3 linked regions of the Alligator mississippiensis genome follow. The protein of the gene in region 1 binds, or shares a complex with, the protein of each later gene. Links are inferred from orthologs where the notes say so. Each region holds a gene or a part of one and is shown in the gene's direction. Other genes may lie near its edges.

Region 1 (7,284 bases):
GGGAAGGAGGGTCTTGGTTGGTCCTGCATCCCCCTCCCCTGGCCTAGCCCCCAAGCCCCCCACCAGGGACCTCAGCCTGCAGCCCCCGCAAAGCCAGATCCCTGAGCTCCATGTCTGTTCCCCTGTCAGAGTCCTGGGACCTAGAGGCATCTCTGCCCACAGGTTTCCAGCCCCCCGGTGGGAGGCAGGAGGGGGCTGGCCTGCGGGGGCAGTGAAGCTGGCCCTGAAACCCAGCCTCACATTCAGCTGCCCTGACACTTGGGTCCAGGACCATGGGAGCTGACAGCTTCACTCCTGTCCCCCGCAGTCTGGGCACTCAGGGCATGAAGGGCACCCGGGCCATACCTGTGTGGCGCTGTCTCCGGCAGTCATCCCTGGCAAGGTGGTCCTGGGTGCCAGGGGTGTCAGGGGTCCTGGCTCCCCCACGAGGCTATGAGCTTTGGCTGCCCTGGATCTGCGCATGTGCCTACATGACCCACCATGTCCCCCTCTGTCCATGGCCAGCGTCTCATGGTGCGTTGGTGCCCAGGCCAGACCAGGCCACACATGCGTGTGCGTGCACGTGCACAAGCATGCGTGTTGGGGATGCGGTGAAGCACTCGTACCACACCGGGATCATGCCAGCCGGTGCCTCTCCCTTGCACCCAACCACACCAGAGCCACCCCCTTCTGCCCCAGTGGAGCTGGAGCCTCAGCACCCTGGAGCGGCGCCGTGGCTCAGACCCCGTAGCAGCACCACCCCTGCCCCTAGCACCCCCCTGCAGGAGGGTCTGTCCCAGCCCTCCTTTCACTGCCCATCCCATCTGCCCCCAGACCCTGCCCAGGCTGGCTGTTGCCAGGGGGTGCAAACACCAGTGCCCCTTTTCCCCCTGCATTGGCTCCTGTGCCCCATTCCCACCTCCCTGCTCCCCCAGCTCCCCCACCCCACCCATAACAACCTCCCAGGTGGAGCTGACTGCCCCAGCCAGCCCCCCTGCATTCCCAGCCCAGCCCAGCCCAGCCCTGCCTCATTAGCGCCCCCTTGCCACCACTGCCCAGCTGATCCCGCCTAGCTGTGCACCCGGGACCCAGCCCCCCCCTTCCCCACGCAGTGCTCTCCAGGCTGGGCCGAGCGGGGGAGCATCCCCGGTGCCGGGGGACGGTGGCTCTGCAGAGGCGCCTGGCAGCAGCCTGGGCTGCTCAATAATTCATGGCTGCAGGCTCACTCGCTCACTCACGCATGCATGATGCCCTCCTTCGGGGCCGCACAGTGCCCCCATATGGGGTGCAGGCTCCAGCTAGCAGGAGGGGTGCTGAGTCCTGCCCAGGGATGAGGGCAGGAGTCCTGGCCCTCAGACCCCCCTGTGCTGGGCCCTGGGCCCTGCTCTCCCATGGCCAGTGGAGCCAAGGGGTCCTGCGCCTGGCGTCAGCAAGAGGCTCGGGGCAGCTCTGTATAGAGCAGCACTGCGTCAGGGCACGCGCCCAGAAATGCTGAGCTCTCCATCTGCAGCTCGGGCCGGGGGGCTTGGGTCACCAGTGCTGCTCAGCCCAGCCTGGTCTGAGCCATGTGGAGTCCAAGACAGTGGCCAGGGCAACCTGCGGCCAGGCAGGGTGGGCTCAGCTGGGCCCCCCAGGGGAAACTGAGACTCATGACCCCCCAGGGAAACTGAGGCACAGGGAAGTGAAGCAACTTACCACCACCCCATGGCTAGGATGGGATCTAGGAGTCATGCCCCCCCCGCCCCCACCAGCTCTTTGAACCCAGGAGTCAGAGCCCGCCTGCTCAGATACCAGCCCCCAGCCCCTCCCGGAGTAGGACTGGCTCCCAGCCCCCCTGTCTTTGGCCGCTTCACACCCCCCCACTCCCTGCCTCAGAGAGCAGGCTGGAAGGAGTGGGGGCAGAAGCCCTGGGCAACAGGAGCTGAGCCCAGCCCCCCACCCCCACCTCCCCCCACGCCTCCATCTCCTCTTGGAGAAACCGAAGATGCTGGCGTGTCCCGGGGGCATGCGCTGGCCTTGGCCCGGCACATCCATTAGCGGCGCTGCCTGGGCCCGGCTCGCATTTATGCATCTACTGCACAACAGATAATGGCAGGCCCCCCCACCTCCCGCCCGCCTGGCACCCGGGTCGATACAGCAGAAGGAGTGCGGAGAAGCACGGCCCGCGCTGCTGGGGGTGGGGGCGGCCCAAAGCGGGTCCCTTTTGGGGGGCACAGGCAGGCCGGAGCCGTCGCTGGGTGCAGCTGTTTCTGGGGTGCAGCATGGCCCTGGGGGGGGCTGGAAGTGGGGCCCAGACATGCATGGCAAGAGCTGCTGTGCGGCCCGTTCAGCCTACCCTGCCCCAGCTGAGCCACCCGGGGCTCCTGGGCTGGGGGGGGCAGCTGGCTGCTGAGTCCCTGACCCTGACCCTGACCCAAGGGAAGCTCCAATCAGCACCTTGGAGAGATGCCAGCAGGGCAGGGGCTGCGGGATGGCAGCTGGGCCCGGGCCTGGCTCCGTGGCCGGGTCGTGGCTCCCCCAGGCAGGGCCCAACCCCAAAGGGCTTTGCTTTGGGGCTTGGATGTGCCACTGCCAGCTCCTGGGCCAGCCCAGGCCAAAAAGGGCCTGGCATTGACCTCGTGACCCCAGAGCACTGTGGCGGGCTGGGGCCTGGGAAATCGGGGCCATGCCGGGGCAAGAAGGCCTCACCGGCATGGGGACTATTTGATGATTGAAGTTTTCATGGTGCAAAACCACAATCTCTGAGGGCCATCTCCGGTGTTGGCGGCCAGCGCTCACCGGCATGCGGGGAGCACTAGGGGCTCCTTCCAGCCCAGAAGGACTCGGCAATGCGCCAGCAGCACCACACGTGGCCCACGTCCAGCCCAGAGCTGCAGTCCAGCTGGGGGGGTCCAGGCAGCCCCCTCCCAGGAGAGGGCCTGGAGCCTGAGCCATACAGGACCCTGGGGTGCTGGGTGTTGGGCCCAGCATCGGGGGCTGGGGGCATTCGTGCGCCGCCCCATGAAATGCTCGTGCGCTGTCCCGTGCGCCATCCCGCGGGAGCGTGTGGGCTGGGCTTCCTGCCCCTGCGCCGAGCTGGGCTGGGCTGGGCTGACGTGAAGCCAGATTGGGCACGGAGGCACTCGGCACCGGCTCCCCGCACACCCTGCATGTCTCTCTCCAACTCCAGCGTCTTTCTGCTCAACGAGGTAACAGCCCTGGGGCTGAGAGCTGGGGTCCAAGGGATGAGGGCTGAGCGGGGCCCAGCTGATGTGACCCACTGCCCAGGGCTCGGGGGTGCAGCGGCTGCATCAGGCTGTGATGCCAAGGGCAACCGGCCATGACCACTGGGAGCTACTGACGGCGGGGGGGTGCACAGCTGGGCAGAGGCTGGGGGGCAGCAAGGGGCCAGAGGCATCATAGAGCATAAGGGGTGGCAGCTGGAGGCACGGAGGACAGTGTGGGGTATGGGGGGGGCACAGCAGGGCAGCGAGAGCAGTGCGGGCTCCACCGGGGGGGGGCAGTTCGGGGCAGGGAGGCCACACGGGGAGCTCGGGGGCAGTGCAGGGTCCGGGGGGGGGCAATGCGAGGCAGGGGGCACACGGGGAGCACGGGGGCAGCGCGGGGTCTGGAGGGGGGGGCAATGCAGGACAGGGGGCACGCGGGGAGCACGGGGGACAGCGCGGGGTCCGGTGGGGGGGGCAATGCGAGGCAGGGGGCACACGGGGAGCACGGGGGCAGCGCGGGGTCTGGAGGGGGGGGCAATGCGGGACAGGGGGCACGCGGGGAGCACGGGGGGAGCGCGGGGTCCGGTGGGGGGGGCAATGCGAGGCAGGGGGCACGCGGGGAGCACGAGAGGCAGCGCGGGGTCCGTGGGGGCCGGGCCCCGCTCGCCCCGCACCTGCTGCGGGCGCGGGCGGCGGCGGCGGGGGGCGGCGGAGCGGGTGCGGGCGGCGGCGGGAGGCGGAGCCGGGCCGGGGCCGGAGCCGGGGCCGGGGCCGGCGGCTGCGGGCGGCGGCGGGGCCGGGCATCGCGGGCGGCGGGGCCAGGCCCGCCCCGGGGGCGGTGCGGGGCGGTGCGGGCCGGGCCGGGCCGGGCCGGGCGGGCAGAGGCGCCGCGGGTGCGGGTCTCTCCGGCCCCGTCTATGTCGTTTTCTGACTCCAGCGCGACCTTCCTGCTGCACGAGGTACCGGCGGGGCGGTGCGGGGCGGTGCGGGGCCCGGGCAGCGCGGCCCCGTCGGTGGCACGGGCCGGGTGCACGGGCTGGGGGGGCAGAGGATGCGGGGCTTGTGCCTGGGGGGGGGCAGGCTTGTGTCTGCCCCCAGCCCTGGGCCCCCCCGCAGCTCCCCCATCTCCGCAATGGGGGTCCGGGCTGCCTGGCCCGTGCGAGGGGGACTGAGGCTGGGTCCTCGTGCGAGGGGAGCTGTGTCTGAGCCTTTGTGCAAAGAGGCCTGGGTCTGAGCCCTCGTGCAAGGGGTGCTGCGGCTGGGCCTTCATGCAAGGTGGGCTGTATCTGGGCCCTCGTGCGAGGGGTGCTGGGGCTGGGCCTGTGTCCTCGTGTGAGGGGCACTGCGGCCAGGGCCTTGTGCAGAGAGGGCTGTGTCTGGGGCCTTATGCAAGGGGCGCTGGGGCTGGGCCCTGGTGCAAGGAGGGCTGGGGCTGGGCCTGGGTCCTCGTGCAAGGATGCCTAGGTTCTGTGAGCAGGGCCAGCCGGCCCGTGCAAAGGCCCTCGTGAACAGAGGAGCAGGCTGGTGCCGAGGGGCACTAGTGCCAAGCCGGTGACTCCAGAGGCCAGACTGAGGGCAAGGCCACGGCCCCTGTGCCCCATGCACAGAGCAGCCCTTACCACAGTCACCCGCCCCCCCCACTCCTGCGTTGCCGCGGCGATGAGCCTGCCTCCGCCCGCCCGCCGGATCCGGCCCTTCCCTCTCCCAGCTCTTTGTTTCCCTTGTGCTGCACCGGCTGCCGGCTCCCCGCGCTCCCCCGCGCGCCTCGCCACGCCCCCCCGCCCTGCCACGCTCCCCCCGCGCCAGCCCCACAGGCAGGTGCAGCCAGGTCCTGGCACCGGCGCCGTGCCCAGCCCAGCCCGGCCCCAGCCTCCCCAGCACAGCCCCGACTCCGGCGGCACAGGGCGGCGCAGCCCCGCACCCCGGTGCCCCCCTCCTCCTTGCTGCGACCCCCCCCCAGCAGCTCCTCCATGTATGACGACTCCTATCTCCATGGCTTCGAGGACTCCGAGGTGGTGAGTGGGGAGTGCCGGCCAAGGGGAGGGGGGCGATGGAGCTGGCCACGGCAGTGCCCCCCCAGCCTGCGGGTGGGTGCCAGGGCCAGGCCCCCCTGGTTGGGGCTGGTGGGGGGGCTCCTACCAGACCCCACCCCTGACTGAGCTATTTATACAGCACTATGGCGGAGGTGGGTGCCAGGGATGGCTGGCGCAGAGGGAGGGGGGCTGACAGTTCAGTGCCGCGGGTGCAGGAAAAGGGCCTGGCACCGGTGCTGGGGGGGCTCTGGAGGCCCCCCTCCATACAGCCTGCCGGAGTCGCGTGGCACCAGGACCCAGGGCCATGCGAGCCGTCTGCAATGCTTGAGCTGGCAGGGTCCCACGGACCCGGCTCCAGCTCCAGAACGGGGGGCCCATGCACCACGTAAGAGTGCCCATGGGCTCCTGGGCCAGGCCACGGGTGGCCGTACCAGAAGGCTGGGCAGCTCTTGTCCCCTCCTGGCCCGGCCTGGGCATGGGCAAGCATCAGCCCTGCCACAGTGCCAGACAGGGAGCGTGTCCTGGGGAGGGGGCAGAGGCCACGGGGGGTGCAGATCCAGGGGCCTATAAATATTTCACCACAGCTTCGGCTTCCTTTTGGGGCCGCAGCAGGAGTTGTTCAATTAAGCAGGAGGCTCCCAGCAGGGAGGGTCTGGGGGAGCAGGGTTCAGCTCTGTTCCTCTCTCTCTGCAGCTCCCCATGGGGTGCTTGTCTGCTGGGGTGGCTGTCACCGCAGCCTCCAGGCTGGGCACCAGGTCCCCTTGCCCCTGGCCTAGACCGGGGGCAGGGGATGTTGGGCTCCCGGGAGCCCAGTGTTGGTGCCAGTGGCCCCCGGTGCTGCCCTGTGGGGGGGGCGCTTTGCTCTGCTCCGCAGCGCGTGGGTGGGCACCAGGGGGCTGGATAATCAGATGCAGCCACACAAGCGCTTCCCCCCAGGCGGCCGCGCCTGGCATTTCCCAGGGCATCTGCCGAGCAGCAGGAGCCCCGGGCCCGGCCGCAGGGGGGTGGGGCAGGAGCCAGATGGGACCGGGAGGGGAGGGGAGGCGGCATCTCTGCCTCTGCTTCCCCAGCCTGCAAGGGAGCAAAGGTCACTGCAGGGAGAGCGATTGGGGGGGTGGTACATGCTAGAAGCCCTGAGACACGCCAGTGTCACACAGCTGCCACTCAGGGCCCCGCTCCCACGTGTGGTCATGCCAGTCGCTGGCACCCGTATCCCACCCGCATCAGGCCTGCACTGGGACACACTCATGCATCCCACGCTTGGGCACACGCTTGTGCCCTGGCACTCACGAACACATGCCTTGGGATAGTGGCGGGTGCGGATGTCTGACGCACATCCGTGCGCACGGCTTTGCTCATGCTCACGTGTTGCACTGGGGCATCGACGTGCCCTGGAGCTGAGGCCAGGACTGACCCCATCCAAGGACCATGGCAGGGGAGGGAGCACTGGGCGGGGGGAAACTGAGGCTCAGATGTGACGAAGGCAGCGCCCTGCAGCTAAGCAGAGCTAGAAAACCTGGGAGTTGGGCAAACCCCTGCACTTGCAGGTGGACCCAGAAGTCCGGCTACACCTGGTGTAGCAGCAAAAAAGGGAGGGGGGGGCTGCATCAGGGAGGACGTGGCCTGGGTGGGTAATTGGTGCCTGTCACGCCCAGGGGTGGGGGGGTGGCCCAGCTGCTTCTGTGCCCGAGAGCAAAGGGCTGGGCCCACCGAGCTGCGGGTGCCCCCCTACCCTGGGCTGCCAGGGGGTGGGGGGAATGTGGTGGCAGCTGCAGCACTGGTTCTGCCCTGTTTCCCTGGTGCCAGGAGCTGACTTCACCTCCCCAGGGCAGGCGCGAGCCGGGATTCGCTCCCGGGGCTCCTGGGGCTCAGCCTGCTCCTGGCACCTGGGAGATGCAGCAACCGCACTCGCTGCCACACTGCCGGGGGGCTGGCTGCTGTGCACAGGGGGCCATGGCTGATGCCCAGGTGCCCTCCACCACAGGGTTCAGCCGACTCCTACACCAGCCGCCCGTCCCTGGACTCCGACGTGTCCCTGGAGGAAGACCGCGAGAGCGCCCGGCGCC
Region 2 (7,599 bases), about 720 kb from region 1:
CCCTTCCAGCCTCCGCTCTGCCCCTGTGTGACACCAGAGACTGGGCACGATGGATCTAGGGTCCCCCCGCCACCAATCCTCCCTTTCATCAGGGTGCTGGGTGCTAATAGCCACTGTGGGTATCTATAGTCTGAACTCAGGCAGGTGGGGGGGGGCAGCTCTGGGCTAAGGGGTTCCCTGATGCCCACCCCATCTGTCTTCCTCCACCCATGGGCATCCATGTCCCTGACTGCCCCCCCCTGCACTGACACTGCCCACCTGTCCCCAGTGTCACTGCTGGGGTGTCATGTCCCCTGAGCCCCCCCAGCCTGGGCTAACGGGGTCTCCACCCCCCACCAACAGGTGCCAGTGGGCTCAGAGGCGCAGGGCGTGGTGCAGCAGCCGTTCCAGCAGCAGGTGCTGGTGCCTGCCAGCCAGTCGGTGCAGGGGGGGCTGCAGGCCGGGGGGCTGCCTGTCTACTACAGCGTCATCCCCACGGCCCAGCAGAACGGGACCAGGTATGGGACAGGCTAGCTGAGGCTGTGGTGGGGTTAGTCAGCCAGTGTGGCCCTGCTGGGCTGGGAGGACCTGGGGCGGGGTCTTGCCTGTGACCAGGGGATCTGTGCAATGGGGGCTCACACAGGAGCCCTTCAGCTCTCTCCCCAGAAGCAGCCGCATTCCTATCTCGAGGATGCATGAGCTGAAGGTGCTGCGGGTCCTTGTGGGGGGTGGGGGAGTTGGCTGGTGTTGTCCCCTGCTCCATCACCATCCACCCCCTTCTTTGCAGCTCGTCTGTTGGGTTCCTGCAGCCGCCCGGCTCCGAGCAGTACCAGCTGCCCCAGTCCCCATCGCCCTGCAGCCCACCGCAGATGCAGCAGCAGTATTCAGGTAGCGAGCCCACCTCATTGCACCCCGGGGGTCCCTCTGCTGCCCCTGCCTCAAGCAGGGGCCAGATAGTGATGCCCCCCGCAGCTGAGCCATTGCCAGGCCAGGGGAGTTGGGGCCACGTTGCACCAGCCCCTATCTCACCCCCCCCCCCCCCCCAATGTCCTCCCAGCAGGGGTGTCGGCGTCGGGGCCCGGCGTGGTCGTCATGCAACTCAATGTGCCCAACGGCCCCCAGCCCCCCCAGAACCCGCCCGTGGTGCAGTGGAGTCACTGCAAGTACTACGGCCTGGATCAGCGGGCACAGAAGCCCGGAGAGCTATACAGCCCCGACACCAGCGCTCAGGTACAAGGGGGAGCGGGGGGGCTGGGCCCAACGCATCCCTTCTGTGGGGAAGCCCTGGGCCCTGACCCACTCCCCCCCCCCCGCCCCCCCCCAGGCCAGCACCCAGCTGAGCAGCCCCATCACATCCCCCACCCAGTCCCCGACGCCGTCGCCTGTCACCAGCCTCAGCAGCGTCTGCCCGGGGCTGAGCCCCCTCCCCGTCCTCGCCCAGTTCCCCCGGCCCGTGGGCCCAGCACAAGGTAGGGGCAGGGGCAGGAGCTGTGGGGCAGCTGCCCCCGTGCAGGCCCAGGGGCTCTGGGACAAGGAGGGAGCCCCTAGTCTCTGCAGGAGGTGGGGCTTGGAGCCCAATGGGCCAGACCATTGGTCAGTCTCTGCAGGTGGCAGAGTTTGGAACCCCATGGGGCAGGGGCATTGGCTGGTCAGTGCTAGGGGGTGGAGTCTGGAGCCCCATGGGGTGGGGCCATTGGCTGTTCAGTGCCAAGGGGTGGGGTCTGGAGCTCCATGGGGCAGGGGCATTGGCTGGTCAGTGCCAGGGGGTGGAGTCTGGAGCCCCCTGGGGTGGGGCCATCGGCTGTTCAGTGCCAAGGGGTGGGGTCTGGAGCTCCATGGGGCAGGGGCATTAGCTGGTCAGTACCGGGGACGGAGTCTGGAGCCCCATGGGGTAGGGCCATTGGCTGCTCTGTGCCAAGGGGTGGAGTCTCCAGCCCCATGAGGTGGGGCTATTGGCTGGTCAGTGCCAGGGGGCGGAGTCTGGAGCCCCCTGGGGTGGGAAGCACAGGCTGCTCCTGTGGTGGGGAGCTGACAGGGACCCCCACCAATCTCTGCTCCCACCGGGCAGGCGACGGGCGCTACTCGCTGCTGGGGCAGCCTCTGCAGTACAACCTGGCGCTGTGCCCCCCCCCGCTGCTGCACAGCCAGCCCAGCTACACCTCGCACCAGGTACGGGCGCTGGGCGGGCAAGGGGTAGCTCCTACCATGGGAGGGGGCATCTTGAGGGATGGGGGGGAGCTTGGGGTCACCACTGCCCCCTCAGGAGCTCTGGGGAAGGGGGGACTGAGCCCTGCCACCCTGGCTAGCATGGGGGTGGGGGGCAAGTTGGCAAGGGAGTAGGGGGCAGCATCTTAGGGAACACCTCTTTTAACTCTTGAAGAGCCAGACAGGAATGAAGCACGGGAACAGGGGCAAGAGGCAGGCCCTCAAGTCCGCATCCACTGACCTCGGGACCAGCGATGTAGGCAAGTGATCCCCCCCCCGGGGTATGTCTGGGAGGGGCACGGGGTGTAGAGGCTGGTACCTGGACTCCTTTTCCCTCCCTGCCTAGCCAGGGTATCTTGGCCTGTCCCTCTCCTGCTCTGTGCCTCAGTTTCCCTGCCCACAAAGCTGCGCATGGGGCAGCTTCTGCCACAGCTGAACCCTAATGCATGGGCAGGGAATGCCACCCCCTCCCCCACTGTCCTTGCTTCCAGCTTGGGTAGGGGGCAGGGCATGGTCGGGGGCTGGGAGCCAGGATGCCTGCGTTCTCTCCTGGCTGGCTTCACCCTAGGAGCTGGCTCAGTGCTTGCTATTGGGACCATCCATGACACCCCTGTCCTGCAGGACAGCTGCGGGCCACGTTGCAGCGCCATGGTGGAGCCTCTTGCTCTCTCCGCCCCCTGCTCCCCCCCCCCCCAATGAAACTGGAGCCAGGAGGGGGAGTTTGCTGCGCCCGGGTTAATATTAGCAAGGAATTCAGCTGGCCGGGTCCGGGGCCAGCCGGGGCCACAGGTGGGGGTGGCTGGCACGGGCTCTGCTGGGATTTGTCCCCAGCCACAGCCGTCACAAAATCACCGCCGTGCCCAGGCCTCGCCCACTGCGCCGGGGGAGAACCCAGGCGTCTGGGCTCCTAGATCCCCTCAGGGCCGGGGATGGGCCCCCCGTGGCCCCCCTGGCTGACACCCGTGTCCCCACAGTGCCGGGCCGTGTGCTGGAGGTGACGGACCTGCCCGAGGGCATCACGCGCAGCGAGGCCGACAAGCTCTTCACGCAGCTGGCTATGGCGGGCGCCAAGATCCAGTGGCTGAAGGAGACGCGGGGCCGGCGCGGGGCAGGCGCGGGGGCCGGGGACGGGCGCGTGGGGCCTGAGAACGGGCGGCACCCCGACCTGGCGGCGCTCTACACGGTGGTGGCCGTGTTCCCCAGCCCCCTGGCCGCCCAGAACGCCTCACTGCGCCTCAACACGCCGCTCAGCCGCTTCCGCCTACGTGGTGCCAAGCGCCACTACGACCTGCGCGTGCTGGAGCGCGCCAGCTCCCAGTAGGGCCCCTGCCGGGCTGGGGGCTGCGCTGGACTTTGGCCCCCGGAGCCTCCCCGCGCGCCTCTGCTTTCGTTCACCCCGTTTCTTTCTGGAGATATTTATATGGACGCGATGAAGAGGAGACAGTGATTTGTTCCTGCCACTGCCCTTTGATTTTGGAGTGAGAGGTCCTCGCCCGGACCCCCATAACCCCCCTGGCCTGGCCTGGTTCCCCCTTGACCCAGCCTGGACCCCCCACAGACCCCCCCCTAGCCTGGGCTGGAACCCCCCAGCCTGGCTTGGTCTGAACCTCCCCACATCCCCTGTGTCCTGGTTGATCTCCCACAGCTCCTGGACACCCCCAAGCCTGGTCTGGTCTGAACCACCACCCCCCAACAGACCCCCTGGCCTGGCATGGATCTCCCAAACCACCCCTAGCCTGGCCTGGGACCCTTGCCCCCACAGACCCCCACAGCCTGGCCTGGACCCCCATAAACACCTCAGCTTACAGCTCCCAGATCTCCCCCCCCCCCCCCGAATCCCCTGGCCTGGCCTGAACCCAACCCCACACACAGCTGTGATCCCCACCCCCAGGCTCAGTCTGGACACACATCCCACCCTGGCCTGTCCATGCAGCCTCCAGGCCATAGCCAGGACCCCAGCCCCTCGCCTTTCTTTGAGCCCGTCACAGCCAGGTCCTGACCCTACAACCCTGGTCCAGACGCCCCTCCTCCCAAAGCCCCCAGACTCTCCCAGCCTGGCCTGGACCCTCCACCCCAGCCCAGATACCCTCTCCCCACCACCACCGCCACCACCCCTGGGCTGGCCCTGATGCCCCCAGCCCCATGTCCGTTGCTCTGTCGGGCGCCGCGTGGCCGCACTGGGTTGGTCACTGTACATTTTATTTAATGGGTTTATTATTATTATTGGGGGGGGGCGGGGGGATTTTTTGATTTTTAAATATAAAAAGAAAAAAAAATCGTCTGTCACCAAGGCGGTCTCCGAGTCTGACCCCTGGCCTTTGACCCCATCTGCAAGGGGCATGGTTACACTGTGGGGGGTGGAGAGGAGAACTGGGTTTGACACCCTGCCCCCCTCCCCCCATGCAAGGAGGGCAAGGGGGTGTGACCCCCATCCATGGGGTTATGATCTCATGACCCCCCCCCCCCAAGATGACATATGTCATGGGCTGGGCCCTGGCTGTGCCCCCCCCCCCATGGGGCAGTCCCCCAAGCTGTGCCCTGGCCCCCATGAGCGTGGCCAGCCCCCGCCCAGCTCGGGTTTCGCTGTCATGCGGGCGCAGCTGTCCTGGCCCATCCGCGGGCACCGCCTGGAGCTGGAGTGAGAGGCCCCTGCCCAGCCCGGCCACAGTGTGAGTGCCCCCTGCACCCCAGAGCCCCTGCACCCCTCCCCGTCACCCCCCTCGGCCTTACGAGAGCTGCGGGGGCCCCAGGGGTCTGCTGTCTGTCCCTGGGGGTGGGAGAGGCCCATGGGGGGGGCCAGCTCTGGCGCTTTCCTTGTACAAGCGTCTGGGAGAGCTGGCGGGGAGACCCAAAGGTGGGCACATTGCAGGGGGGGGGCAGTGACACTATCCCCCAGAGGGGGGAGCCCCTGCAGCCCTGGCAGTGCCTCTCCTGCCCCCCAGCCCCAGCCATGCCCCGCACTTCTGACCCGCAGCCCCCGAACAGTGGGACTGGGACTGGGGGGCCAGGTAGATCTTGGGAGTGGGGGGCACAAGAGCAAGGGAGCCAGAGCCGTGACCCCTACCCTGCCTTGGCAGTATGACGGAGAAGGAAGCACTGGAGCCACCGGCCTCACCGGGAGAGATGGCCGAGGGCCAGGTACGTTCTGGGGCCAAGGGGTCCTGGGCAGCCCTAGTGGGGCAGGGCAGGGCCTTGCCACTGCTCCCCCCCCCCCACTTGAAGGGCCCTGGGAGAGTGTTATTTGTGTCTTCCTAGCAGCCAGCATCTCCCCAGGGGGCCGAGTGGGCCGGAGGGCTTGGAGCCTGGATGCCTGGGTTGTACCCCGGCCTGGACGAGGGGGAGCGCCTGGTGCTTTAGGGCAGTGGGAGCTGGTTTCCGTGCCCAGCTGGGGAAGGGCTGTGGGGTCTCCTGGGTTCCACCCCTGCCTCCATCACTGCCATGCGGCCCAGGACACTCCCCCCATCTTCTGTGCCTCAGTTTCCCTGCTGAGCCCCATCTCCCCCAGATCCAGCGGCTCCGGCACCTCTTCCAGCGCAAGGCCCCGGAGCCGCCGCCTGAGACGCCCGAGCCGCAGCCCGAGAACGGGGCCCTGGTGAGCCCCTCGGGGGGGCCCCTCTACTACATCTACGAGGAGGAGGAAGAGGAGGAGGAGGAGCCCGAGCCGCCCCCGGAGCTACCGCCGCCCGTCAATGACAAGCCCCACAAGTTCAAGGAGCATTACTTCAAGAAGCCCAAGTTCTGCGACGTCTGTGCCCGCATGATTGTCCGTGAGTGGGGACCTCCTTCCCCTACCCACAATCCCCTGGGGCAACTACGGGGCCACTCGGCCCTGTCCACAATCCCCTGGGGAAACCATGGGGCCACTCAGCCCTACCCAGAATCCCCTGGGGCAACCACGGGGCCACTCGGCCCCACCCAGAATCCCCTGGGGCAACCACGGGGCCACTCGGCCCTGCCCACAATCCCCTGGGGCAACTACGGGGCCACTCAGCCCTGTCCACAATCCCCTGGGGAAACCATGGGGCCACTCAGCCCTACCCAGAATCCCCTGGGGCAACCACGGGGCCACTCGGCCCTGCCCAGAATCCCCTGGGGCAACCACGGGGCCACTCGGCCCTGCCCACAATCCTCTGCTCTGGCTGGGTGTCCGGGGGTGCTGGCAGAAGGGGGCTCAGGGCTGGGGTGGGGGTTGCAGGGGCTGCAGGGGACCAGGATCTGGGGGGTGCAGGGCACCAGGGACCAGGGGCTGGGGGACCGTGAGGGGCCGCAGGGCACCAGGGAACAGATGCTGGGGCTGGGAGGCTGCGGGGGCCATGACCTGGGCCTGGGGGGCCATAGGGTACCGGGGGCTGGGCCTGGGGGGCCGCAGGGCACTGGGGACCAGTGGCTGGGTGCTGGGGGACCAGGGCTGGGGAGCCAGGGGCTGGGGCTGGGGCTGGGGGACTGTGGGGGGCTGCAGGGTGCCAGGGGCTGCAGGGCTGGGGCTGAGCCGTCCCCTCCTCACAGTGAACAACAAGTTTGGGCTGCGGTGCAAGAACTGCAAGACCAGCATCCACCAGCACTGCCAGTCCTACACCAAGATGCAGCGCTGCTTCGGCAAGATCGTGAGTGCGGGACCCCGCATAGCCCAGGCGTCCGGGTGCTGCCCCGGCCTGCCAGGGCCACCACCTTGCAGGGCCGGGGGCAGAACCCAGGTGTCCGGGCTGGCCCCTAACCCCTATTCCCCCGCAGCCGCCCGGCTTCCGGCGGGCCTACAGCTCGCCCCTGTACAGCGACCAGCAGTACGCCTGCGTCAAGGAGCTGCTCTGTGAGTACCTGCCCCCCCCCGGGGGCGCTCGGGGACTCCCCAGGCCCTGCCCCACCATGCTCAATGCCCCCCTGGGGCATCCCCCCCCCCACAGCCGCCACCAACCGGAGTGACCCCGTGTTCGAGACCCTGCGCACAGGCGTCATCATGGCCAACAAGGAGCGCAAGAAGGGCCAAGAGGAGAAGAAGAACGTGAGGGGGCATTTGGGGGGTGCTGGGGCACTGGGGGGTGGGGGGACATCCATCTCCCCAAGGCATCGCGCTGTTGTGATGGGCCCTCCACTGACCCCCAGGGCATTGTGGGAAACTCCAGCCTGGGAGTAGGCTGGGGCAGGGCCTCCCCCCAAGTCTGAGAGGCCCCAGGAACCAGCTGCCCAGAGCTGCCTCGCCAGTACCCAGAATCCCCTGGGGCAGCCACGGGGCCACCTCCCCTTACCCACTGTCCCCTGGGGCAGCCACGGGGCCACCCCCCCTTACCCACCGTCCCCTGGGGCAGCCACAGGGCCCTATTCCCCTTACCCACAATGCCCTGGGGCAGCCACGAGGCCACCTCCCATGAGCCACAGTCCCCTGGGGCAGCCATGGGGCCACATTCCCCTTACCCACAA
Region 3 (7,941 bases), on another chromosome or scaffold:
GAATCTATGAAATAAGCCCAGTTCCCTTAGTCTTTCCTCACAAGCCATGTCCACCAGTCCCTGAACCATTTTTGTCGCTCTCTGCTGCACTCTCTCCAATCTGTCCACATCCTTTCTGTAGTGGGGGGCCCAAAACTGGACACAGGACTTCTGATGTGGCCTCCCCAGAGCTGAATAGAGGGGAAGAGTTGCTTCCCTTGACCTGTTGGCAACACACCTATCAATGCAGCCCAGGATGCCGGTAGCCTTCTTGAAACAAGGACACACTGCTGGCTCGCATTCAGCTTATTGTCCACCGTCACCCCCAGGCACTTTTCTGCAGAGCTGCTGCCCAGCCCGTCAGCCCCCAGCCTGCACCGGTGCAAGGGATTGCTCCATCCTAAGTGCAGAACTTTGCACTTGTCCTTGTTGAACCTCATGAGATTTCTTTTGGCCCAATCCTCTAATTCCTCTCATACATGCCATGCTGTAACTGTTTTGATCTCAACTTTTTTCTTACCGATCTTTACTAGTTTGGCCACTCAACCCTCTTACACATCACAGAGGTCTTGCTTGATGGCTGTAAGATGGGAAGTCCTGGGAGCTTCCACTGGAAGATTTTGCCTGTGCTATTCTATCAGGGAGCAGGCTCTATGCCCCACCACTCAGTCTGTCCACAAAACCAGTGGAAACTTCATGAATCATAGAAGTCGGGTCGGAAGGGACCTTGTAGATCTTCAGGTCCGACCCCCTGCCTGGGCAGGAGGAAAACTGGGCTCAAATGACCCCAGCCAGGTAGGCATCAAGCCGCTTCTTAAAGCTCCCCAGGGTAGGAGCCAGCATCACTTCCCTTGGAAGTTGGTTCCAGATCCTAGCCGCCCTGACTGTAAAGTAGTTCTTATGGATGTCTAATCTAAACCTACTTTCCAACAACTTGTGGCCGTTATTCCTTGTTATCCCGGGGGGTGCTAGGGGAAACAAGGTCTTCCCCAAACCCTTCTGGTCCCCCCTAGTGAGTTTATAGACAGCCACAAGATCACCCCTCAGCCTTCTCTTGTGAAGGCTGAACAGGTTCAGGTCCTGTAGCCTCTCATTGTAGGGTCTGCCCTGATGTCCCCTGGATCATGCGGGTAGCCCTCCTCTGGACCCTCTCAATGTTGTCCATATCCCTCTTGAAGTGCAGTGCCCAGAACTGGACACAGTACTCCAGCTGCAGCCTGACCAGTGTTGCGTAGAGGGGGAGGATCACCTCCTTGGCCCTACTTGAGATGCACCTATGGATGCACGATAGGGTCCGGTTAGCCCTGCCGACCATGACCTTGCATTGTCGGCCCATGTTCATCTTGGAGTCAAAAATGACTCAAAGATCCCTTTCTGCCTCCATGCTCTCAAGAAGGGAGTTTCCCATCTTATAAGTGTGCTGCTGGTTACTACTGCCCAAGTGCAGCACCCTGCACTTGTCCGTATTGAAATGCATCCTGTTTTTGTTAGCCCACCTTTGCAACCTATCCAGGTCTTTCTGCAGTCTTTCCCTCCCTACTAGTGTGCCCACCTCACCCCAAATTTTGGTATCATCAGCAAATTTGAACGGGTTGCTTTTCACCCCGTCGTCCAAATCGCTGATAAAGAAATTGAACAGCGCAGACCCAAGGACCGAGCCCTGGGGGACTCCGCTGCCCACTTCCCCCCAGGTCGAATATGACCCGTCCACCACCACCCTCTGAGTACGACCCTTCAGCCAATTTGCAATATATCTGACCGTGTAGGCATCGATGCCACAGTTGCCTAGTTTTTTAATGAGGATGGGATGGGAGACAGTGTCAAAGGCCTTGCTGAAGTCCAGAAAGACTACATCCACAGCGACACCTGCATCCAATGCTTTTGTGACCTGATCATAAATGCTGAAGCTGGGGTTCTTTTCACAGAAACCCCAGCCCTCCAAATTCTCGCTAGGCTTCCTCGGCTCCACGGTATCCCTGTTCTAGAGACTTGCACTAGCGTCCTCTAGAGCACCTTTCCACAGAGGCAGGTATTTCACAACATTTATCAAAAGTACAACCATGCAGCCACTATTGAATCTAGCAGTATCAGCTGAGGTGTTGAAGTCCAGTAGGGTTGCAACAATGAGAGAGTCCCATTCACTATGTATTTCTGTATTTCACCATGTTACAATTTGGCCGCAGCAATATCCTTTATTTTTCTGTGTGTGGGAGAGCAGTCTGATGGCAGGGCTTCTCTCCCTAATTTTCAGTGGCCTGGTCCATGCATTGTATGGGAGAAGATGTTTTCTGTGCATCTGCTTTCTCTGTTCTGTGTACATTGCAAGGCTTTTTCTGACCAAAGAGTCCCCCCGCAACTGAAAGTCCCTGCTTGGTGTAAGGAAACCAGCTGCTTTCTAACCAAAGGAAATGTGTGGATTCAGGGCCATAGACCTCTGGAATTTGGAAGGATTGCCCCAAACACTTTTGTTCGCATGGGTAAAATCCTGTTCTTATTGACCTGTCCGTTTCCCTCTGTTACTGGGAAGGCTCCGTTACCTCTAGAGGCACCATCATGGCCAGAGGGCTTGGAAGAAAAGGAGCACAATCCACTGTGCCTGTTGAATTTGTTAAGGCACTGTTAGGTGCAAACTCAGATGCGGACACCAGTGACAAGAAGCAAACAGTACCACGACAGCTACTCCTGATTCCAGGGAAAGAAAAGTACTGGGGCTTTAGGAAGTTTTGAAGACAAAGACATTTTTAAAGCCACAAAAAAATGTTCATGGAAAATTTCATATTTTTGAATGAACAATCTGGGTTTTAATAAGGCTGTTTTTTGAAGGGAAAAAAATGTTTAAAAACATTGGTAGTGTTAGACCGGGGTGGGCAATTATTTCAGCTGGAGGGCTGCTTAACCAGTTTTGGTGAGCTGTCGAGGGCCGCATGGGTAGCCCACCTCTTGATGCTTGCCCCACCCCCTGGTCGCCATCTTCAGATGGAAGTCCCGCCCCTAACCCCTGACCTTTGCCACTAGAAGTCCCTCCCCTTGCCTGTGATGTGTAGCACTGGACAGAGCCACGTGCCTCTGGGTGCCAGCACCTGCCCTGGGCACAAGCATCCTGAGAGCCCCCGCTTGCTGCTGCTGCTGCTGCCAGTGGGGGCTATGCACCATGGTGGCTATCCCACCCTCCCTCACACTTCACAAGTGCCACACACCCACACCCAGCCCTTACAACCTCCCCACATACCCTATTTCCCCCCACACATACGGCCACACACCCTTACAAACCCCCCACTCCCCACCATACACACACCCCCACACCCTACCTTACACACCCCCACACTCCACCATACACACATACCCAATACCCCACCATACCCATACAGCCCCACACCCCACCTTACACACATACCCCTATCCAACCATACACACACCCTCCACACAATATACAAGACTACAAAAAGGCTGCCCTGAACTTTGTCCTGCAGGATTGGGCCCCACATGCTCCCAGGAGCGGCAGGGGCCCGAACCTGTGGGATGTCTGTTTTACCCAGTGAAGCAGAGGAGCTGTGCCAGGACACTCCCAGCACAACTGATCCACTTCATTTGCTGATGCCTGTTTACACCTTAATAAAAATCTACTGCAGAACAGCATCAATGTAAGACATAGCGTGATGGTACAGAACAACACACCAGGCTAAAATCCTCCATAAAACAAGTGCTGCTGGCCAGCTGACAAGCACAGACTCAGTCACCTGCATGCCAGATATGTACAGCAGCATGCCAACAACTACTGAGCAGGCTCCCTGCCAGCCACAGTATTTAGGGTCAGTTGAGAGGCAAGCCTGAAAGAAAAAAAATCTGCTGCACTGCTGAAAAGCATTTCAACCTCTCATTGTTTAGCCTATATCCCTCCCCGCTCCAATCCCACTTAGACTCTTGCTGAGAGGGCTCTCTTTCAGACTGTGACAATAAAAACTAATGCTGATGAGACGATGCTTAGCCAAATTTCTGTCCTTTCCACTCATGGCTAAATGTTTTTCTGGATAGCAAGCACCTTAATACATATTTTCCAGTTAATGTGCATCATTTCAAAATGGCATTTTCCATTTAATAACTGACCTAAATTTTAAAAGAAAAGAAGGGCTCAGACAGAATGGTCTGGGTTAGATTTAAAAAAAAAAAAAAAGAAAAAAAAACCCTTATTTTTTTTGTTTCATCAAAAAGAATTTTTAAAAGTTTCTATTGTGATTTCAACTGAAATGTTTTTTCCAGTACTTGTTTTAACCACCAAATTGAAAAATCCATTATTTATCCAATCCTATCACAGTGGAGATATACCTGGATTACAAAGTAAAAGTTCGGTTCCATAATTAGATCAAAATCCTGACTTCTACAAAGTTTTGAGGTGTTTGGATACATTTGCACAATTTGTGTTTTTGCAAACATTGACTTGAGTCGCGCATTCCCCCAGGATTGAGAATGCCTGCAGACAAGGAGGAGATTGATTTTGGATCCAATATTGAATTTTTTTGAATAAAAGTGAGCTCATGCTTATCTCAGTTACAACAACAGATATTTTACATACTAACTGGGAAGTTAAAAATTTACACCATTGACTGTTCCTGGTCACATTGTGAGTCAGGCGGTCTTGGTCTTACAACCGTGAATTTAGTTATACAGATCTAGTTTTGCTTCCAGTTGGCATATGGACCTCCAGAACAAACCAAGGAGGAATGAACCAGTAACCTGAGCTGCAGCAGCAGTTACTTCACTTATTACGTGCATTAAAAGAATCCCCACTCACAACAAGTCCAGTCATCCAGTCTCCTGATATATCTCAACAGCTGTACTTGTGGCCATATCCATCCCAGCCCAGTCTGTTCTTCTTTTTTGCATCACAGGGCTGACATTTGAAAATGCTTAGACATGCCAAGACTTTGGGAGACCATTTGAATAACTTGCAATGATCTTCCATGCAAGCAGATCAAGGCAGACTCAGCAGTAATCACCAGGCAGAGGCTGCTCTATGTGTTCCAACACAGTCCAGCCATGGACGAAGGCAAAACACTGAAAATCCGGCTAACTTTCTCCGTTATTTTGGTTGGTGTTGCTTTATTGTTTGCAGCTGTGGTGACTGATCATTGGGCAGTGCTGAGCCCTGAAGTGCTGCACTACAATGCCACCTGTGAGGCTGCTCATTTTGGGCTATGGCGGCTTTGCACAAAACGGATTTACGTGCAGGATACTAAAGAGAAGGGCTGTGGACCGATCAGTCTGCCAGGAGGTACGTGTCAATGCTCGTTTCACATCCCTTCCCAGAAATGCCTGAGAGAAAATGCCACGTTATTGCTATTCATGTCTTTTAGGAACCTACAAGACATATTGAAAAGGAGATATGGTTCTTTGTTCGCATTGCACTTAGTCTTACAAGATTTCCTGAGTGAATTCGGTTCCATATTAGCATGAAAATACACCTTATTTTCATATTTCCTTGAGGCTTATCTTAAGTACATGATGTACTGCCACAGTACATATCTTCAAGTATATTCAGTACACTGCCTTTCAGTAGCTTCTGTACAGAAAAAAAAAGAATATAGTTCGTATAACAGATAGGAGATGGCAGAAAGCATAGACTGAAATCAGGGAAATGGGACATTTTCTCACTGGTGTTTTGATGAAATCTTCAATAGGCCCAGCCCCAAAACACCTACACAAGCCCTTATTCAAGGAAAATGTATATAATTTTCACTGTGAGGTTTGCCTGTATGAGGATTATAAGACAAAATCTAGTGTCTGCAGTTAGCTCAGAAGAAGAACTTCCTGGTTCAGATAACTTCAAAGGGACAGCTTGTGCAGGAAGGATATTAACATATCCCCAAGCTACCCTGAATAATTATCATTGCTTCAGACAATGTGCAACTTTGGACAATCATACAACTTTTAATGTATCATGCTAATGTAATGTCCTCCCTGGAAACCATCTCCCTCATTTAAATGCCAAAAATCCCGTAGACTGAATTAGAAATAATATATCATCAATTTATTGGGTTTCCTTAAACTTCAGTGACTGAAAGCAAACATATTCCAACATTATTGCTAAATGAAGTTTAATCAGCTGCCTTTCTTCATGACAAGTAGTAACATACGTTGTAAGTAGCCCTTACTGCAACTAGTAGGCATGGTAGTCAAGTAGGTGATTTCCAGGGAGAACATTACATTAGCATGATATATTAAAAAGTCGTATTATATTTTTGCTGGATGGAAAGTCAGCAACATTCATGCAACATGTGCTAATACCCTACTCACAACTTCACTAAGCTGTATTTTAAAGAGGCTTGCCATGAATTGGATTATTTGCCAAGCAGAAGTAATAGGCTGCTTTGCTTGTTAGAAATACTATTTGAAGCTAAGGTTAGATTTTAATATATTTGTAAATATGCTATGAAATTGCATAACGATAAATCTCAGTTCATGTGATTAATTAATTTATTATTAGAGATCTGATCCGCAGCTTTCAGATCCAGGCTTCCACCAAATTTGGAGCTGTTTGAGTCTAGACGACTGGCTGTAGGCCATATCTAATATGCATAATAAATGTGTTGTAATATGTATGTGCAATCCTAGTTTTGCAAACATTAGAGCTTCTATGTTTAACATAAAAATAAGGATTCATGGGAACACCAATACTGCATGTTGCTGGATACATTTATAACTTATAAATACCCAGCTGTCTCTATAAAACAGATTCTGAGTCACTGCAGCAGAGAAATGACTGCTCTTTTTGATGGACATCACCATGTGCTTGCATGGTTGTCACATAGCTGAGCTATCCATCCCTCTGCACTGCCTTCCTAATGTGTCCAGTAAACAAATAGGTAATTATGAAAGAAGTGAGCCAGTCCTCTGCAAAGCAACTTGAAAAGACTAGACATAATCTTTGTATGCTGCACAGGTCAGCACTTGGCAGTTATTCATGAGATTTGATTAAATTTAATCCCAACCACCTAACAATTAATTTTCTAGCACCAGTCATCCTACTACTGGAGGCTTTGAAAGAGTCCGTCCCCCACATTTTTTTTTTTTTAACAACTGTTAATAACATTCTCATATCTCCACTATAAGGTAGATATTACTGTACCCATTCTCCATATAGGGAATCTGAAATAGGGAGGGGTGGACTAAAACTAGCCCCACATATAGTCCATAGCAGAGTTTGAAAAGAAACCCAAGAATCCTGCTTTTCAGGATTCCCCCTTATATTGTAGGTAATATTGCCATTATTGTAATGGTATCACACTCTTGAAAAAGAGACATTCCAGTTGTCAAGCTTGGGTTTGTCAAGAAAGTTTAGCAGAACAAACAGACAAGCGGGGATTTTGCTTGTGACCATATCAGTAGATCTTTTTTCCCCCTTAAATGTCATGAGATATTAAATCCTACACTATCATCATCATCTGAAAAATTACAAGTATTTACTACTTCATTAATAGCCACTTACCCAGTCATACTCACGGAAAAGATGGATGGCATTGCTACTATTATTTATTTGTTGAGTTCAGCACGGTATGGCATGAAAAGGAAGGGCTTGGGGATTGTAAGCTAAGAAAAGGTCTTGTGATTCAGGCAAAGAGAATTAAAATTACTTAAAAAAATATGCTAATAAACTAGAAAGGGTTCGTAAATTTATCCAAGGAATGACAAGATTTAGTAGTTGGAAGTTTAAGTTAGACATCAGGTTTTAAACATGTGAGCCTTAACTGTAACAGACCTTTGGAATAACTTACTTGAGGATGGGGTAGACTCTTTATCATGACAAGTCTTTAAATCAAAATGGGATGTTGAAAGGTAAATCTTATTCCTTATCCCCCAGAAGATATGGGCATGGTGTAGAACATCACCAAGTGACTTTTATAGCCTGTGGATGCTGGAGGCAGATTGATAAATGAACGCTGTTCTTATAAAAAAATCTACAAATCT

What was found. Proteins that work in one complex are often made in the same cells at the same time.
Region 2: CACNB3 (region 1) and STAC3 share a complex: the UniProt entries of both Homo sapiens proteins name them as parts of the calcium channel complex. The link is inferred for Alligator mississippiensis from reciprocal best matches to the Homo sapiens genes CACNB3 and STAC3.
Region 3: CACNB3 (region 1) and CACNG1 share a complex: the UniProt entries of both Homo sapiens proteins name them as parts of the calcium channel complex. The link is inferred for Alligator mississippiensis from reciprocal best matches to the Homo sapiens genes CACNB3 and CACNG1.

The regions. Positions count from the first base shown.
Region 1 is NC_081838.1:6,572,990-6,580,273, forward strand, and holds the start of CACNB3 (voltage-dependent L-type calcium channel subunit beta-3), read left to right. Parts: upstream 1-4,253; 5' UTR 4,254-5,155; coding exon 5,156-5,200; intron 5,201-7,202; coding exon 7,203-7,284. UniProt on the Homo sapiens protein: Regulatory subunit of the voltage-gated calcium channel that gives rise to L-type calcium currents. Increases CACNA1B peak calcium current and shifts the voltage dependencies of channel activation and inactivation.
Region 2 is NC_081838.1:7,291,150-7,298,748, reverse strand, and holds the start of STAC3 (SH3 and cysteine-rich domain-containing protein 3), read left to right. Parts: upstream 1-4,558; 5' UTR 4,559-4,653; coding exon 4,654-4,853; exon of another isoform or gene 4,854-5,261; coding exon 5,262-5,322; intron 5,323-5,689; coding exon 5,690-5,951; intron 5,952-6,690; coding exon 6,691-6,788; intron 6,789-6,915; coding exon 6,916-6,991; intron 6,992-7,085; coding exon 7,086-7,183; intron 7,184-7,599. Other genes in the region: R3HDM2 (R3H domain-containing protein 2), read left to right, coding at 343-497, 767-867, 1,037-1,209, 1,304-1,448, 2,048-2,148, 2,360-2,444, 3,159-3,505. UniProt on the Homo sapiens protein: Required for normal excitation-contraction coupling in skeletal muscle and for normal muscle contraction in response to membrane depolarization. Required for normal Ca(2+) release from the sarcplasmic reticulum, which ultimately leads to muscle contraction.
Region 3 is NC_081831.1:5,752,557-5,760,497, forward strand, and holds the start of CACNG1 (voltage-dependent calcium channel gamma-1 subunit), read left to right. Parts: upstream 1-4,900; 5' UTR 4,901-5,013; coding exon 5,014-5,248; intron 5,249-7,941. UniProt on the Homo sapiens protein: Regulatory subunit of the voltage-gated calcium channel that gives rise to L-type calcium currents in skeletal muscle. Regulates channel inactivation kinetics.